3 linked regions of the Nothobranchius furzeri genome follow. The protein of the gene in region 3 purifies or fractionates together with the protein of the main gene of each other region. This does not show direct contact. Links are inferred from orthologs where the notes say so. Each region holds a gene or a part of one and is shown on either strand. Other genes may lie near its edges. The genes, in order: rpl6, nepro and npm3.

Region 1 (3,753 bases), on a different chromosome or scaffold from region 3:
ATTATTTAAGCTGACTTTGTTCAGATACCACATCTTTACAGACTATTGTAGCCAATAGTTTTCATGCGTAAGGCAATACTGACATTAAACGGATAAATAAGTTTTAACTTTTAATACTGCCGGTAATTTCTTCAGCATCCTGATACAGTTTAAGTCTGAAAATGCATTTGTTAAATAATAATGTATTCAAAACAATCTAAAAACCCTTTTTATTTATCAACTATCCCACCTGATGCCTTTTGTCAGTCAATTCTGCACCACTGATCACATCTTGATCAGTGCGCTCCAGAGTCTTACCTTTCCACGGTGGCGACCGGTAAGCAGAATGAGGACTGTTCCAGGAGTGATAGAGGAACGCAGATTCCTCTTGTGCAGCTTGAAGGGCTTCTTCCCATGGCTCTTCAGCTTACGAGGAACATCCTCCGTTGGGTAATAGCGTGGCTACAAGGACGACAGATTTAAATTAAACAAACACGTGAACATGCAAATGTTTTAAAACAGTAATGAGTACGTTTACATGCAGCCAATATCCGGGTTATGATCAGGTTAAGGTCGGTATTCGGGTTTCTGAGTTGATCAGAATAACCCGTTTACAAGCATAAATAGAAAGAATTACCTCTAACTTGCATAACCCGATTTAAATGCAGATGTTGGGGTAGCGTTAAGACGTATGGACTACGTCCAGACGCAATATGCGTCAATTCTGGTTCTTCTCGTTCCGGTATCCGTGAAAACAACAACCTGTCTCCCAGTTCGGAAGAGATAGCGACCGCGTTTGTTTGCGCTTTAGTTTCTTCGTCACTCCAAAAGTGTGGTGCTGTGCCACAACTCGCCATGTTGCTCCCCACCTGTTGTTTACTTCCGGAGTTCTGGCGCATACAAGACGTCTCGCTACTCAAAAGACCAAGATTCCTTGCGAACAGAGCATGCGCAGAACACACGCTTTGATGAGGATATCCCGGTATGCGTTTACACGACCAAAAAAGAAAAGGGTTACCCCAGGTGTAGTAACCGGGTTTTTTAAAAACCCGGTTATGAGCATATCCGGGTTTTTGGCGGTGTTTACATGGACCTGCGGAACCGGGTTATTGTGAATAATCGGGTTTTAAATGGGTTACTGGCTGTATGTAAACGCACTCAATGAAGGTATGACCATACGGTGTGTGCAAATTATTTAGGAAGATGTCAGAGCAGAATAGATAGTTTAAAAGCTTGCAATTTACAATGTGATGTCAGCCGAACACTCATGTGGGACAACTGTATTTCATCCACTATCATGTAATAGAATGACACTTCCTTTTAAACCAGTGTTTCCCAACCCTGGTTCTCAGGGCACAATGTCCTGCATGTTTTCCATTGTGCCCTTTTAAACACCAGTGTTTCCCTGCTGCCACACACCCGACTTAAAAGAACGAGTGACTAACAGGCATCTGTGGCGCTTGATGCATATCATATGGAAATCAGGTGTGCTGAAGCAGAGACATGGAAAACATGTAGGACAGTGTACCCTGAGGATCAGGGTTGGAAAACATCGTTTTAAACTGACTAGAAGCCTGAAGATGCCAGGAGCTTAACACAGAGGGCTAAATTAAGAACATTTCAAAATACAACACTTTACAGAATACTTACCATCTTGCGCAGCTTAACAACGCGAGTGCCTCCATTCTTGTCTCCTCCAACAGTCTTTACCACCGTAGCCTGGGGTCTGGTCTTTACTTTCTTTTCAATCTAAAAATGAGAAAATGAAGATACAAAATCTAACCAAATGCTGTGTCCTACACTTTTGGAATCAAATAATATTAAGTGACAAGGACCCGTCCATGCCTTGGTCTCGGTGGTCTTGGTTTTCCTCTTGTACATTGCCCGGCGGGCGTACATAGCGGACCGGGAGTAGCGGCCAATGCCCCGGGCCAGAACCGGGTTCCGGCTCCCGTGCTTCTTCTTGGCAGCCTTCTTTTTATCTCCCTCTGCCATCTAACAGAGGAGACAGGTTGACGGTTATTAGAATATTAATAGCATCATTTATTAAATAATCATGGTTTTTAAGACTTAAGTTACACTTTGTGGGCAACTACTGCCTTGGTTTGGAGCCGTGGTGGTGTTGAACTACAACACCAGAACTGATCTAATGACAATCATAACATTAACCCTGTTGGTAGCCAGTAACTAAATAAACCTGCACGGGTTACAGAGAACTACGAAAACATGGCTCACTACGGTTCTGGTAAAGGTAAACCATGACAGATAAAGCTACAAAGGCACCAAATGCATAAGACGAGCGTTAGCAACATGCTAGCAACACATTAGCCGAGTCCATTTGCTAATCACATTTCTTTATAAATTTGACGCGGAGAGTAAAATTAAGCAAGAAGACAACTAAACTATGAGAACAGAGAATAGCATAAACGGACACGTTTCTACAAACGGTGTGAGTAACGACAGTCTGGACAGAAGCTATCCGGCGGCCTATGCGCATCGGTGCACTAAACTCTTCCTTATTAAAGCAACGCTGTGAACAAATTTCTCTAATATTGACGTCTAACGGATCATGTAAATGTAAACTTTAATCTCTGAACATTTTCAGGCTCCAGTTTTTATTCAGTAACACTGATGAAAGCAGATTTTAATTTCTTGCGTTACACGAAAGCAAGGCTGTCTTACCTTTGCTATGAAAAAAAGACCGACATCCGGGGACGTTACGCATATAAGGACGCCAGACGATGACGTTGACGTTTTAACGTCAGCTTTAAACAAAGTTGTGTTTTTCTGTTAGTCCAAATTATTTGTAATGGCTGTTATTTGATCACGAGGTTTTATTTATCCTATTTCAGTAAAAAATCTAAAATTTAATAATGGTTAATATATCTGCGAATGAACCACTGTTGACTTAATGAACGCTTGTCCTGTTCCAAAAATAGAAAACAAAAAAAAAAAAAACTATTATGTAAATGGATATTTTGTGTGACTATTTTAATCAATGTAATAATCACTGAGAAAAAATGCTTAAAAATAATTTAAGCTGTGAAAAAAAACCTGAGTTTATCCCCCCGGCCCCCCCAAAAAGGCCATAAAACATAAAAAAAAACTATAGGTTATTGCTGATGCGCAAAATATGTCTTGTTATAAATTATTGTTTTTTTATTGAGAACATTTGAATATTTCTGGCTTTTGCCTATTAAAAAGAAACACTACTCATAACAATAGTTAAATTAAGGATTTTTATTTTATTTTATACAAAAATAATTGTAATGTCAAGCTTTTGTTTGATTTGTTAATAATTTTTGTAGTGGCGTGTCATTAGACTCAGATTAATCAGAGTTTAATAAGTTCTGTTATTAGTTTTGAAATCAAAATAAAACATCAGGGGTAAAAATAAAAATACCTACAACAGGATCATTTTGGACAGTTTTATTTAAATTTTCTCATTTTTGTTTCGTCACAGAAGTACAAAATCGGTTAATGCAACCGCCTCGATTCTGGCAACACTAGACCCTAAAAAAGGAGTGATCCACAACATTTAAAGGCAGAATGCTGACACAACCCTGGACACAGAGCGGCATTTTAGGCACATACACACATAATCCTAAACCTTTGTACCTCAATAGATGCAGATGTGTGCTGCAGAAATCAGCTAATACCAAATACACAGTAAAAGTTAGATTAGTAGTGTTGCAATGAAGAATCTGGGCAGAGGTGTTCCATTATCACAGTTTTATGTTGGGAAAATGTCTCCTTTGAAGTTGTATCAACTAT
Region 2 (3,753 bases), on a different chromosome or scaffold from region 3:
GAAGATCTCCGGATGCTGCCTGAGTGCCTTCATGTGCTGTTTGTGTCTGGCACTGAGGACAACATGTGTGACAGGGTGAGGGTGAAATATGTACCGGGCCTTCATCCTGGTACCTTTTAAGTTCACTTATTCAGTTTTTTATTTGTTTAATTTTATGTTCATTATATCCTAAAATCTATAATTTAGTGACATCATGTATTATTTTATCCATTTCAACTTTCACAATTATATTTCAGTCATTGTATTTACTTATCTTTTTTAGGAGCTTTTCAGTGGAGTACTGAAAGATATAAAAGCTCAGGCTGAAGTTTTATGGATAGCAGGAGGCAGCCATGGACTGAAAGTGAAAGGAAGGTCTGAGGATTCTGTGATGGATGAGATCAACCTGAAAGTTATCAACTGGATAAAGAAAATTGAGTTTAAGTGAATCACTGGAGTCATCTTGTTATTAGTTTGTTTCATTTTCTTGCATTTGTTAAATAAAACACATTGTTTTTATTACAACAAATCTGTTGGTACAGTTTTTACTGGGTGTTAAAACTTTATTATGCAAGCAAAGTATTCACGTTAATTCATTTTCTAAATGTGTGCACATTGCAAGAGCAGAGTTGCAAATATTGCAACATTAAAAAAAATAAGTAGCTCAAGCACGTGGGGATGGCAAACTTGTAAAATTATTTAAAAATATTTATTCAATATTTAATAAATGTTTCCAATTTTACCACATAGTGTATAAATACATTATCAAAAATATCCTTTTTTCTGTAGATTTTAAATATTCAAAATATGTTGAATTTCACTTCAAAATGTCTTAGAAATACTTTGATTTTTAAAAATGGTAAATTGTTTCTGTAACAATTTAAAAAATATAGAAGAATAAGCAAATGTCTTATTTATCTATTAGTTTTATTATTTTCAATTTTCGATTTCAAGTGTCAAACTTGTTTCTGTACCTTTAAATCCAATGTTGACGTCACACACTCGAACACTATTGGCTAATCGGCTTCCGTACATGGAATGCAGAAAGCATGGCTGCGGAACCATGGAACAGGGTAAACATTCCCTTTCCCAGTGCGACATCAAGCGTCCACATACGTCTCACATCAACAACAGGTTTGGCTTTTTAACTTTAAAATAATTACGTGTTTTACTTATATTGTCTGATGTCTCGCGCTCGTTTCAACGCGTAAAAACCGCGCCGATCTCAGCCCTCACGTGTGCGCGCAGGGGTTTTGCGTCGTGTGCTTCGATGGTGACACTCGTGTGTGTGTGTGTGTGTGTGTGTGTGTGTGTGTGTTTCTAGCTGAGGTTTTCAAAACCCTGCAGCGGGAAAACAGCCAAGTCCTGAAGCTTCTCCGCAGCAATATTCTTTGGACGGAAATCAGAGTTCTGTACGAGCTGCTGTACGTTCTAAACAACAGCATGAGAGGCAACAAGACGTTCAAGGGGTTACAACAGGTCAGCACCAAAGCTGCAGAATAACTGTTTTGATGTGGACTTCTTTAGATGTATTTGTCATGTCTGACTTCTCCCACAGGTTGAACAATGTGTAAACAGACTGAAGAACATGAAGCTTGATGCAGCTCTTGAGGATCTTGCAAATTTGTGTCCAACTAAGATTCAAATGTAAGAAGCAAACAACCCAAGGCTCTTCCTTTATAGTTGATGAAACAGGATAGGTCAAATCAAGTTTTAAAATATCTAAAGCGCAACCTTACACAGCTTTTTTCAAACTAATGTTAATTTGTGTGCATTTTTAGGACACTGTGCACCAAGAGCGGTGAGTGCAATGTTCCAAGTCAGCCCACGCTGGAGTGGACCTGCCTCAAAGTCCTGGGAGCCAGCAAACTCCTAAGCTGCACCTTGACCCGCTGCAAAAGAGCCTTTATGTATCCTGTTTTAGAGGATTGTGTTATCTGTGTGCATCATAAAAGTATCGGTGTCATGTCGTTTTTGACTGCTGGCGTCTTAGTTAGGGTTTAGTCTTTTTCTGATCACTTTATTGCTGGGGGGGGGGTTTATCCTTAACACATTTTTGTTTCAGACTCACGAGGCAGCAAATGAAACTGGAGGAGTTTGTGTTATTGTGTTTGGTGATCACCAGCATGCTCAGTCGTTTGTGGTAAGAGAAACTTTGAGAAACTGCAAAATAGAGGCTGGAGCAAATGTAACTCCAGAAAAAGCCATTTTTACTGATCATTTTCGGAGCAGTGCCTCGTGTTAGATTATGGGCCATTCCCATCTGTACCGGGTCGGCCCCAGCCTGGCCCGGTTGATTCCACACATCCTTGTCTTAAGCCCATGTGGACTGATTCTTCCCACCAATCAGAGGCTTGCTCTAATGGAAGGTGTGAATTTGCTGTCAGCAGTGGGTGTGTTAGCCCTGGTCGGCCTGAAGCAGAACCCCTCGAGAGAAGAGGGCTGAGAATGAGCCTTGGTTGGCCCGGTAAAATACCAGGCCACCCAGATATGTAAACAACCTACGCTACCCGGCCCGGGCCGACCCGGTACAGGTGGGAATGGTCCATTAAGCCCCATTCCCACCTGTACCGGGTCGGCCCGGGCCGGGTAGCGTAGGTTGTTTACATATCTGGGTGGCCTGGAATTTTCCCGGGCCAACCAAGGCTCATTCTCGGCCCTCTTCCCAAGGGGTACTGCTTCAGGCCGACCAGGGCCAACACGCCCACTGCTGACAGCAAATTCACACCTTCCATTAGAGCAAGCCTCTGATTGGTGGGTAGAAGCAGCCCACATGGGCTTAAGGCAATGATGTGTGGAATCAACCGGGCCAGGCTGGGGCCGACTGGGGCTACCCGGCCCGGGCCGACCCGGTACAGGTGGGAATGGGGCTCTTGTTTACAACACTGCTGTAGCTAGCGCTAATGATGAACAAGAGCCAACTGATACCAAATGATCCACAAAGTAAAAAGGTCCACACCATTGGGAAAAAAAAATGTTTATTTTTTAAATTTACACGTGCAGTAGCAACAAATCCAGGTCACCATCAGTCTGAAATTTTGTAGCTTCGTTTAACTCCCTCAGATGAGTGTAGGCTGTGCCGAGGTTCACTCTGGTTTTACCTCTATGTTTAGATCTTTTTTGGGCTTTTTATTGGCGAACTGATAGCAGTTTCTGGTCAGTGGAGGCCTACAGAGTTATGTCCAATGTGAAGTTGCTAAAGGTACTGGCTTAAGAACCACTGAAACCAGTTTGAAACCAGTATCTTAAAATGTAAAAACTGTTGAAGTTCTCCTTTTCTGTGCCTTACCAGGGTGATTTTCCGTGGTATCCTGGTTGGGCTCGCCAAACTGTACCCGAATGTCCTGGAACTCCTCAGGGATGTGTCCCAGGCCCAACCCATGCCATACCTCACTGGCATCTCCCTGCCAGCTACTATCGCTGAGATTCTGAGTCCTTCTGATAAATTATTACTGAAGACGCATTGTGCATTTCACTCTCACGTCAAAGATCAGAAGATAAAGCAGCAAAGCAAAAAGAATGTTCCAGATAAAGAGAGAACCCAGGGAAAGAAGAGGAAGATTACAGAAGACCTGGGGGTTTTGGTCAAAAGAGGTATAGTGTCTTGTCTTCTGTTTTACCTGGACTAGGGCTGGGCGATATGGCAAAAATAGAATTTCACGATTTTTCCAATATTTTATCACAATTTCGATTTTATCACGATTTTTTATCCATGAATAGCATAACTTCTATTGCGTATTAAAGAAGAGAAACATTGAATAAACAAACATTTAT
Region 3 (3,753 bases):
TATGTATGATTGCACATTTACTAAATATCACCTTTTTTTTACTTAGTTTTCTTTCAAATGGTTAAAATTTCAATTTTCTTTTTTTTTTTTAGAACAAACCCTAGACACGTTTACCTACTGGGACCAACATATTCAGTTATTTTATGATTTCTGCTTTTTGTTTCCTGATTATATTAAAATAATTTGAAGGGGCTACAATATTAAACCGTTATACAAAGTTCAGTTCTTTGCTGTGACTTTAAGGCCTGGTTGTTCAAATAAACAGCTAACTTTACCTTCAGCCTGATGTGGTTAGTTAAAGAATCATTAGTAATCATTAACCTCACGATAAATGAATATTAGTTCAGACTAGTTTTACACAGATCAGTGCAGATACCGTTCATCTGCAGCTTTATAGGTTTAACCTCATGTTTAGGCTTTTCCTGTGTTATTGAATGTTTTCTAATCCAAATATTTAGTTTGGGTTTAATATTCAGTACATTAAATCTAAATTAGTTTTCTATTGATTACAGTAGATAATCAGACACTACCCTATAGCTGCTTGTCAATGTGGTGTTTCAGAGTTGTACATTTCATAATGTGCATGAGGTGTATTTGATCTGCTGTGGAGGACATGAATAAAAATCTCATCTGGTGCTGCATAAAAGAAGCATGCCACCTACAACTAAAAGTATAATGGTGTTGTGCTTAGTCTGTATAAGCTGTCGTATGGTGATGAACTTGTAAATAATCTTTCAAACTGGCATGCAGTCTAACTTTCAACGGGCTGCTTTTCTTGTACACCTGCATCAGCGATGCGTGAAATTTGCTTGCAAATTTTCCCTTTGACAAATTAAATCGATGTTTGATTTCTTTTATGGTTCCTTTTGCAGTATGCTGATATTTGTGCTTTTTTATGCCAACTTGATTTGACAATTAGGAGAAAGGGCTCCTCTTGTACATTTTGAGTTTAGATAGGGTGATTAAAGTAACCGTTTGTCTTTGTAAAATTTCTATGTATAATACGTTATAAAATCAATAAAGCATATTGAGTTGCTACAACAGGTGTCGAGTGTATTGATGGTTTGGGGGGATATTTCTGTATGGTATGGTATTTTATCCTAAAACGTTCTAGTTTATACTGCTTTGATGTGTAAAGTCAGGCTTTTTTATATCAAAAATAAGACCCCACTACGCGTCTAAAACACACTGATAAATTCTCACTAGTAAAGTAATATGTTTTAAACAAATTGTATGACAATTGCGAAACTGGCGAACCAAAACAAATCACCAACCTACAGGCGCATACTGATGACGTAGAGATATGCTATTTATCCGCGACTCCTGTTTTTCGTGAAACACTTTTAGCCACAAACTCTGACCATTTCAGCTGCCGACACGCTTTAACAAAATGTCTTTTAGTGAAGAAGAATCCGTGGAAGTTGGTTTTACTGGTCAATCAAAGTTGGAGAGCTTCTTGTTCAGTAAGAACCATTAAAACTTTTTTTTCGTGCCGCTCTGTTGGTGCACACGTGGGTTAACGGACGCTCCGAACGACACGAAAATGTCTCAGTGTCTCTGCTGCGAGTTTGATTCTTGTTTTTACTATTATTTTATCTTTAGGTTGCGAGTTGTCATCCAAAGTGCCTTTCTACACGTTCCAGGAGGACGAAGACGAAGACCTAGAGCATTTGCTTGAACTCAGAACAGTATGTGCTTCATAAATCTCACATTCGCAGAGTAGCCTCTGCTTGTCTGATGTTAACGTGCATGTGAATTCCACGTCATTCTTAGTTTTGTTTCTTATTATTGTCGCAAATTACCACATGAATCGTCCTCTATGTGGCTTCCAGTTGTGTGGGTTTCATCATCGTGTTTCTCGCAGATCTGTCTCGGTGAAGGTGTTAAGGAGGAGAGCAATGTGGTGGAGGTCACAGCCATGAACCATCAAGGAAAGACCATCTCAGTTCCCATTGCTAACCTCCACATTAAGTGTCTGCCTATGGTAGGTGTGATGTAGTTGCTTGTGAACCACGCAGCTGAAGTCTGCACATCTCTTACGTTGTGTGTTTTGGTTGTAGGTGAGTCTGGGAGAGTTTGAGCTGAGGGCCCCGGTGACCATCCGGCTCAAGGCTGGAACAGGACCCGTTGTTGTCAGTGGGCTACACCTCATTGGTAACTTTTGGTTTATATTATAATTAAATTTGTATTTAATCACTCCGAGCATTCATGTGATCACCACTTAACCTTAACTGGACTTATTCCAGTTGCCTTTATTTGACCCTGTTGAATGATCATGACCTGGATGACTGGGAGCATTCGCCAGCACCACTTAACCTTATTTAAGTTTTATTTTTTTAAACACAAATGTAAACTGTTAAGGGACACTATTTAGACAGCCTTTTCCATTTCTCAGTTCTATTCTCATTTACTCATAAGAGTAAACAAACCTCATTACTGTTTGTTAGTCATTCATTTTTTTGACCAACGATCATGTTGGCAGAGATGGTTTATTTGGATTATATACTTTGATATTTACTTTAAAGCTGGGGCCTGTCGAGTGACGTCATCACAGAGGTGGGGCATATAAGGAAATTTGAACTAAAGCTCCAGCTCCTCCTCTAAAAGGAGCTGAAAGCCACGCCTCATACCTTGCACGAATGGAAAGTGGAGCTAAAACAATAGTGTGGTTTAGCTTAAAGAGCATCTTGTAACTAAAACCACAAATAACTTTTTTTTTTTGCTAATTAACTGTATAATTTTCTGTATAACTGGGTCTTTACAAATGCAATCTTTCTGTTTCTGTGCATTTTTTGACATGTTTGTGTAAACGTGATTAAATCTAGAATCTAGATCTAAAAAAGTCTTAGTGCTGCCCCCTGTGGCAGAACAGCAGCTACTGCATTTTAAACTTGTGATTGACTGGGGCTGGAACTATTTCATGTCATCGGTACAGTCTCCTCCCCCTCCCACCCAGGATGGAAATTCCCCACACTTGGCCATGCCACTCTGTGCTTCCTGGCAACACCCACTTTCATAGCATTTTTCAAATCTTGACTAGGGTTGGAGTTACATTTTCTGATGGTGCGCAGTCCCCTGTTCATTGAAATGGTAGAAAAACATCCAAGATCAAAAAGTTACTTTGGGTGTCCATTTAGGTTTTCAGATAACTAGCAGGTGTTTAAAAATACAAAATCAAGAGAAGTGGGCAGGCTTCTCTAAAAACGCACAGTTTTGGAGTCACATGACACATTACGTACCTTGAGGTAGATGTGCTTTACTGCTGTTATTTTTAGTTGCTGAGGTAACACAGAATCAACTAGTTTAATGATGGTTAATGTTTGTTTATGTTGGGGTTGTACAAACTACACAACACCACAGCAGAAGATAGAGAAGCAGAGGTCAGATCAGATAAACGTAGAAGCGACATGGGCTGGGGCTTTCTATTGGCATTGGTGTAACTGCAGGTTGCCATGTTGGATGGGTCACCAGTCGCCCCCAGTGCATTTATTGGACTAGAAAAGTCAATAGTAATCCCACATAATCTGTTTTCTACAGTACGCCGGCTGTTGAAACGTAGACCGCACAAAAGCAGGCATAGTTATAGCAGGTATAGACAGCACATCACACCCACTCTTAAATCACTGTACTGGTTGCCCATTCAACTCTGAATCAATTTCAAAATTCTGCTCCTTACGTTCAAGTCTTTGAACAGTCAGGCCTCACCATATCTGAGCGAACTCCTCCAGTTTAACCAGCTGAGACCTTAGGTCT

What was found.
Region 1: the proteins of npm3 (region 3) and rpl6 purify together in Homo sapiens (affinity purification with mass spectrometry; 3 studies listed by BioGRID and IntAct, with this or other methods). This does not show direct contact. The link is inferred for Nothobranchius furzeri from reciprocal best matches to the Homo sapiens genes NPM3 and RPL6.
Region 2: the proteins of npm3 (region 3) and nepro purify together in Homo sapiens (affinity purification with mass spectrometry; 4 studies listed by BioGRID and IntAct, with this or other methods). This does not show direct contact. The link is inferred for Nothobranchius furzeri from reciprocal best matches to the Homo sapiens genes NPM3 and RMP64.

What each region holds. Positions count from the first base shown.
Region 1 is NC_091757.1:55,600,692-55,604,444, reverse strand, and holds the start of rpl6 (large ribosomal subunit protein eL6), read right to left. Parts: upstream 2,172-3,753; 5' UTR 1,975-2,171; coding exon 1,825-1,974; intron 1,729-1,824; coding exon 1,630-1,728; intron 442-1,629; coding exon 298-441; intron 1-297.
Region 2 is NC_091754.1:12,629,868-12,633,620, forward strand, and holds the start of nepro (nucleolus and neural progenitor protein), read left to right. Parts: upstream 1-940; 5' UTR 941-1,028; coding exon 1,029-1,113; intron 1,114-1,303; coding exon 1,304-1,458; intron 1,459-1,537; coding exon 1,538-1,626; intron 1,627-1,760; coding exon 1,761-1,889; intron 1,890-2,044; coding exon 2,045-2,122; intron 2,123-3,271; coding exon 3,272-3,573; intron 3,574-3,753. Other genes in the region: tex30 (testis-expressed protein 30), read left to right, coding at 1-75, 263-427. UniProt on the Homo sapiens protein: May play a role in cortex development as part of the Notch signaling pathway. Downstream of Notch may repress the expression of proneural genes and inhibit neuronal differentiation thereby maintaining neural progenitors.
Region 3 is NC_091752.1:22,151,293-22,155,045, forward strand, and holds the start of npm3 (nucleoplasmin-3), read left to right. Parts: upstream 1-1,216; 5' UTR 1,217-1,390; coding exon 1,391-1,463; intron 1,464-1,602; coding exon 1,603-1,688; intron 1,689-1,864; coding exon 1,865-1,984; intron 1,985-2,060; coding exon 2,061-2,154; intron 2,155-3,753. UniProt on the Homo sapiens protein: Plays a role in the regulation of diverse cellular processes such as ribosome biogenesis, chromatin remodeling or protein chaperoning. Modulates the histone chaperone function and the RNA-binding activity of nucleolar phosphoprotein B23/NPM.